Tribolium castaneum: one gene and its partner. The protein of the gene in region 2 interacts with the protein of the main gene of each other region in a biochemical or structural test. Links are inferred from orthologs where the notes say so. Each region holds a gene or a part of one and is shown on either strand. Other genes may lie near its edges.

Region 1 (3,667 bases), about 2.5 Mb from region 2:
AACGAAGTTCTCTATCTATCAAGGAGGCTGTGAATGACAGTGGGCGTGTTTGCAGACGACTGGTTGACAATCGGGGGTCTCCAAGCAGCCTTTCCGAGTTCGATGAACACGAGTTATTTGCGATCGAAGTTGGGTTTAAAACCACAACACATATCAAATATTTTATGTAACAACAAAATCCAAGGGCAAGTTACGGGTATTAATGGGGTGGTACAGCAAGGTTTGACCCATTTGGCCATTCCCAATGGGTGGAATTGGGGCGGACCGGCGTCTCCTTTTTGCCCCGTCTGGATGGAATTGTTTCTAAACCCCAATTCTGGGACGGCGTTGTGATATTATCTTATTTTGTATTTAATTTTATTTATTTTTGACTGGGTATACTTCACGTAAATTTTACAAATTTATGGCTGTGTGTCGGACGGTTTTATTTCTAAGCTTTAAAGACAAATATGTGGGGGCACAGATGATTTTATTTTGAAATTGTGTTTTTGTTCAGAAATTTTCAAAAAAATTAGCGGGCGAATTTTGCAATAAAGGGCCCCGATTTCGTACTCCCTGTACTGTAACAACTTAGTCTTGTATTTGTAATTATTTAATAAATATTATTTTATTAACAGTGAGTTTTATTTATCACAAGTTCGGTCCAACAAACAATCGAGTGCGTAAGCACCGCACGTGAAAAGTGTGACCTTGACATCAGCGTGCCAACTTTAAAAACTGAAAGTTTTGCCGAAATTATTGCAAATAAAGGTGTAGTGTCCATTGAAACAATAAATTTGGCTTGATTTTGAGCCTACAGTGAAAAGTTGTGGTTTTAATGTTAATAAGGTTTAGATTGTGTTAATTTTCCCGATCAGCTGTCCTTCCGTTGTGTTTGCCACCGTGCGCGCAACCTGTGCAACCGATCTTTGTAGCAAATGGGTATGAAAAAAATACCCAAATTACGTTAAATCAGTCGGTAATTTTGTGATAATCGCGTCCGAACGTTTCCCCCTTCATTTTTCATGTTATCATAACGCCAAATCGAGTCTTTTACGTTTTAAGAGCGCCACCCGGCTTTTCCTCGTGTTTTCATCAGCCCTCCATTGTCAAATCTATCAAAATGGCGGATACAGGTTACAAGAATCGCATCCAGAATTTCAAGAACAAGGGAAAAGACCAAGATGTAAGTACCCCGCCCTTCCTTGCGCCCCACCGGCTCCCTTACTCCCGAAACACCCGTCCGGTGCGCCCCTTCTGACCGCCCCGTGTGCCCCCAGGAAATGCGAAGACGGCGCAACGAGGTCACCGTGGAATTGCGCAAGAACAAGCGCGAGGAGACCCTCCAGAAGCGCCGCAATGTCCCCGTGGTGGACTCCACCGACGAGGACGACATCGAGAAGTCGCTCTCCACCACGAACTTGGAAGAACTGGTGGCGCAAGCGGCCGCTATCGACAACCCCCCGCTGCAGCTGATGGCGATCCAAACCGCGCGGAAGTTGCTGTCTTCAGACAGGAACCCCCCGATCGACGCCCTCATCTCCAGCGGGATCCTGCCGGTCCTGGTGATGTGTCTCGAACGGTATGACGAGCCCTCGTTGCAGTTTGAGGCCGCCTGGGCGCTCACGAACATCGCCTCGGGCACGTCCGCGCAGACCAACAGGGTGGTGCAAGCGGGGGCCGTGCCCCTCTTCCTGAAGCTGCTGCACTCGCCCCAGCAGAACGTCTGTGAACAGGCCGTTTGGGCCCTGGGGAATATCATCGGCGATGGGCCGCAGTTAAGAGACTATGTTATCGAGCTCGGTGTTGTTAATCCACTTCTCTCGTTCATTAAACCCGACGTTCCGATTTCGTTCTTGAGGAACGTCACCTGGGTTATTGTTAATTTGTGTAGGAACAAGGATCCCCCGCCGCCTATACAGACTATTAGGGAGTTGTTACCCGCCTTGAATGCGCTTATTCACCACACAGATACCAATGTGAGTATGTACCAGAAAAGAGTCACAAAGGTGAGCAGTCTCATACTTTGCGTTACGTGTGAAAAAAATATAAAAAAGGGAAGAAAAAAAAAAGTTCACCTTTAATGACGTCTGAGTTTTAAAAATGTTGGATTCAACGGTGCGAGATTGGTGTCAAGGTCGCAATTTATTCTTTGTCCATTTTAATGATTTGCAAAAATACGTCTTCATCATTATTTTCGGTTGTTTTGTTAGTATTGATTACGACGTAATAAACAAAACAGTACTTTGGCTCTATAAACAAATTTTACGTTGGCAGAATCATTCATAAAATTTTCATTAATTAAAAGTTCAGAAGTAGGTCAGCTATAATTGTTTTCACTTATTAGGAGGTGTGACTCAGGTTTTTGTGACTCAAACCGGGGTTGTTTATAGAATATGAAGTTAAATTAAACAAGAAATATTTTCTTTACATTTAAATTATTCTTACCGATGGTCACATAGTCACAAAAACGTTATCAAGAATCAAGAATTACGAGATATCAAGAAAGACAATTTTACAAATAAAATATTTGTTTGAGATGCTGTCAAAACATTCTGGGATAATTAACATTTATTCTCACTTGTATAGAAGGGTTCTATAAATAATTGAAAGAAAAACCCTGGTTTCAGTGTCAGTAACAGAAACTGAAAGTTTGAAATTTTTTAGACGTTGGAATTTTATTTTAAAACTTTTCCATGTCCTTCTCGTCTGAAAGTAGATTTTTAGTCTCTTTGGCGACAAATTTCAAAGGCAAAATAAGCCTTGATAATTTTCGTAGGCTTGATTCGTCAGTCCTTAGATAACATTGTCAGGAATGTTGCATAAATAATAAATAAAAAAATATGAAGACATTGGAAGCTACTTAACATAAACAATTAAAAATGGATTTTTGTTATGTGGTGTAGTGGCAGCAATAACAAACAGTGTGGTTAATTTATTTGCGGTTTGTTTTTTGTACTTTTTAATGAAACGTGAAAATATTTATGTACATAATACTATTAAGATTTTTTATTAATTATAACAGATTCCTTACCTTTGTTGTTTTATGTAATTGTGGCATGTTGGCTTTTATTTAAAAAATCATAGAATTCACGTTGTGGAAAATAAATGTGTAATCGTAAATTTTGGTAAAATACTATAAAAAATTTCAAGTTGACTTCATTTTGTGAGGCACTCTCATTTATTTTATTTTTTTGTGCAATATTATGGAGGTGATTTTTTTATTTGATTCTGAATCATTCTTTTATTTGTTTATTCTTTTGTATTTTAAAAAATACAATGCATATAAATACAAGCCGAAAAAGGAATTTTAATGACCTCACAAAAGTGCATCTTTACCGAAAAATTCTATTTGACAAATTCGCATTTTATTTAGGATAAAACATCACTGGGGAATAATATAAATGACATTAGAAACCTTGCAAAGTTCTCGTTATTTTTTTTATTTATCGATATTAAATTTTTCTGGGACACATACAAAACGATATTTGGATTTTCGGCTGTAGCATTTAAAAAAAAATTGCTCTTCCAGATTTTAGTCGACACGGTCTGGGCATTAAGTTACCTCACCGACGGCGGCAACGAACAAATTCAAATGGTGATCGACAGCGGCGTCGTGCCCAAACTCATCCCTCTCCTCAGCCACAAGGAGGTGAAAGTGCAGACGGCGGCCCTCCGTGCCGTCGGA
Region 2 (3,755 bases):
ACTTAGGAGTGAGGTTTATGAGATTATTTCCCGCTTGCCTGAAATCAATCACTAATCATATAAATTACGGTGAGAGTCAGTTGGGGCGATGCAACACGAACACAGACACAACCCTGGATTTATTCGAAAAGTCTTACCTTTGGTCGAATTTTGCGAAATTTTGCTGCGGCTGGGTGAAAGAAAACAGGGTGTAAAGAAAGGAAACATTTATTATCCGTACAACTACAAAAATCCCAATTCTGCGGGAGTGATCCCAAGCGTTTGGGAGGGAATTTAAAAAGTGAAATATCCTAACTGAAAAGGCGTGCAGGGAATTTAACTTAACAAAATTAAAATCTAATACAATTTTGATGAATTGGTCAATAGGCACCCTAGACATGGTAACATTTTTAAGGGAAAAGAAGAAAAGTAACCGGTGTTCGACAATACCAAGTTTGGAATAAGCCGCATTTTGCGTCAACTTTCATACGGCATTTGAGCTTTACTAGGCTATTTAATTAATAAATTCAGTCTTCAGAACACACAGAAAACCATATTGTCAAACATCGGCGCGTTTGGGGTGATTACAGATTAACAATCAACATGGCACAATCAAAACAAAACATTCAACCAATAAAATATGCAACCATAAACATTTCCACTCAAAACCCTTCCAATTAATTGTAACGCAACCTTTTTGCACATGAACATTCGTAGAATTCGAAATAATTTTAAAAAGATCATGGATTAAAATCACACTTTGGCTGGTTCACAAAACCATAAAAATGAGCTTTTTAAAATTAAATATCTCGGTGTGCATAAAACAGTTAGAAGCTTCAATAAATAATTTAGGCCAGTAGAAATTCTTACACTACTTCATAATAAAATTCTTCATACTTCGTACATACAAAATATACAACCACACTACTTACATACTATACAAGTGATTTCATACAGCCTTTGAACCCAGACGTGGGCAATAGTTAAAATAACCCATCGCTAATGTACCTTCCAAAACAACGAAGGTCGCTTAATGGACTAGTGATAAAAATAAACACAAAAATTGGTTTATTTCAATATTGCCCACGGAAAAATATCACACATACAAGGAATTTATAATTATAATTCTAGAATTATAATTACGAAAACATTGAGAAGGTTTCGTTATACGCATTTAAAAAACTAATGGAATTTGAATGTATCTTTTTCGTGTTTTGGCAACTACAGAAACCTTCTCAAATCACAGATTCTTTTTTACTTTGTTGCGATACCCACCCTCCCTTTCAAGCACTTTCGTATATTTAATCAGCGTGTCGACTTATACGAAAAACTCGAAAATTTTCATACACCACCCACGCAAGGCACAATCAGGCCTCACAAAAATCTTTCATAAAAAATACCAGTCACAAGATTTATTATTCTCAAATTTCCTGAGTATGAATTCAGTGAATTGGAAATTGTTTCAAAAAAATCAACCAGGGAAAAACCGAAACACGCTCCTCTGGACAGTTTTTGATTATCGCAGTCTTTTGCTTTTTAAGAGAAAAGTTAATATAAATTCGCAAAATCTAAAGAAGCACCAGAGCGTGTTTTGCTTTTTTCCGCAATGAAATTACACACAACTTCAGCGAAACAAAGAAGCAATAATAAATCAGGATTTTAAGATTACTTCTGTCTGACTGCAGTGCATAGGTAATTTCTTCACCAAAGACCATTATAAAAATAACTACTTATGATTAATTCGATATGTGAAATAGACAAATGCTTTTATTGTAATCAAGTACAACACTAAAGTGAAGACGAACGTAAAAGACGCAACAAGTGATAGAGGAGACACCACTTCACTCTTCAGTCTTGAGCTAAACCGCCTTTCACGAAACCAGGCGAAGATTCAGACACTATTCACAAGCGTTCACAGCTACGATTAGCACTCACAGTTTATCAAGAGTCCATATGCATCAGCACTCACTCTGCACCCCGAAAACCGAAAGTATTGGGGAACAATACCATGTCAAACTAGCTGACCAGCTTTACTCAACCGAGAGATGAGCAAAACTGGTCCGACTCAGCCAAAACGAAAACTAAAGTCTGCAAGAATTTTGGTTTTATGTATAATGCGAATCCAATATCGATGCCGTTGACCACACCTTCGTTAGATTTCCTTCTGTTAAACCACAACATGCCAAAGAAAATCTGAAACCATCGAAAGCACTGTCAAACTTCGCTCAGCACACCGATTTTCGCGAGACACATACAGTCCAACGCCAAGTCTCAAACGCAGCAGATCCAACCGACCCACCACAACTAACTTTATTTTAATTTTAAAAAAATCCCAGCTATAATTTTAATAATGTCTGTTTTATATTATTTGTAACGATTTTTTGCCAATTGGATCTGCTGAAACTGTCCACTCCCACTTACCAACTAGCTACAGCGGCCGTCGAATTAGCCTTCAACTTGCGCAACTCCTTCGTAGCCCAAGTGGCCAAAGTTCTAGTACGATTAGTTCCACTTCGTCTGCCTTTCGCCAACATCTCGTTGATCGGCTCCAAATCCAGGAGTTGTAAAAGTGGTGCTCCAAAAGCCGTACAGAGATCCCCCACCAATCCGGCAGCCACCGCAACCGTGGCATCAGAATTGAACGTGTCTTGTGCCACCACGGTTATAAATTGAACGATGAAAGGAATGTGCGGTTCGAGAATCAAAACGTCGGGATTAGGTGTCGGGCCATCGCCTTTTAAACCCTGTACAATGCCCGTGTAAGCATCAAGTACACCTTCGCGTAATTCGTTCAAATAATCGACCATATCGAAATCATCTCTATCGACTTGTGCCTGCGACGCCTGCGCTAGTGTTGTGAGAACAACATCGAGGTATTTTTTGAATTCGGGGCCGATACTTAGGACGATATCGCCGAACACTGAAAGAATCTGTGGCTTGACGCTACGGTGGACCGATTGATCGCCGAGATTTTCGAGCAGAAGAGTCATGATTTCGTCGCAATAAGGAAGAGCTTTTAGTTTGAGAGCGCGGAAAATGTCACCGGTTAGACCGACTGCGGTACCACAAACTTGGTACTCTTGGTGGTTTTTAAGGCCGATGTAAAGAAACGGCTTGAACGCGTCCATGTATTTGATGAAACCTTCACCGAGGACTTCCACCAGGGTTGACACTGCCATCAGTGCGTCCTCTTGTACACCTAACACAAACAACGTTTAATTCCCGTACTTATAATTTTTTATAATACGCCTTCAAACTAAAATCTTTAATACAATTCACTGTAAAGTGTAAGCGAAAGATTTTATTTGAAGGCGCATTTGGCTGGTGAATTACCTCCACTTTTGCACGAATTCGAGTTGAACATGGTCAGCATAGCAGTCATGATGGCGTCGGATATTTGCGGCGCGTCCTCTGGTGTAACTTTCCTCAAAACCGACTGAAGTGTTCCGCACAACAACGACTGGAGATCATTAAACTGTGACCTATCATTGTGGCTCGTAATGTGTGTTTCCATTTGTAAAACTTGTTGCAAACGTTCAAGAATCACCATTGTTGTCTTTTGTACGGTGACGTAGCAATCTTTCGGTGAATTCTTCACCATTTCCATCAAAGCCTCGTAGGCTGCCGGTCTGAGATTAGCTTGAGCGCCGTCTGGACGGTCCGTAGTCTCCAAAAGCCGCTGAATTATATACTCAAAGTATTGTGACAACATGTACGTATCGGGAGTTCCCGTGTCTTCGTTAGTTTCAGCTGCATCGTAGGCGGCTTCAGCCAAT

What was found. The genes of interacting proteins can lie anywhere in the genome.
Region 1: the proteins of Fs(2)Ket (region 2) and Kap-alpha3 form a complex in vitro, tested with the Homo sapiens proteins (2 studies listed by BioGRID and IntAct, with this or other methods). The link is inferred for Tribolium castaneum from reciprocal best matches to the Homo sapiens genes KPNB1 and KPNA4.

What each region holds. Positions count from the first base shown.
Region 1 is NC_087398.1:4,899,545-4,903,211, reverse strand, and holds the start of Kap-alpha3 (importin subunit alpha-4), read left to right. Parts: upstream 1-723; 5' UTR 724-1,102; coding exon 1,103-1,165; intron 1,166-1,259; coding exon 1,260-1,958; intron 1,959-3,511; coding exon 3,512-3,667. Other genes in the region: endonuclease/exonuclease/phosphatase family domain-containing protein 1, read left to right, coding at 56-333. UniProt on the Homo sapiens protein: Functions in nuclear protein import as an adapter protein for nuclear receptor KPNB1. Binds specifically and directly to substrates containing either a simple or bipartite NLS motif.
Region 2 is NC_087398.1:2,427,035-2,430,789, forward strand, and holds part of Fs(2)Ket (importin subunit beta-1), read right to left. Parts: coding exon 3,313-3,755; intron 3,179-3,312; coding exon 2,401-3,178; intron 2,173-2,400; coding exon of another isoform or gene 2,172-2,172; exon of another isoform or gene 192-2,171; intron 39-191; coding exon 1-38.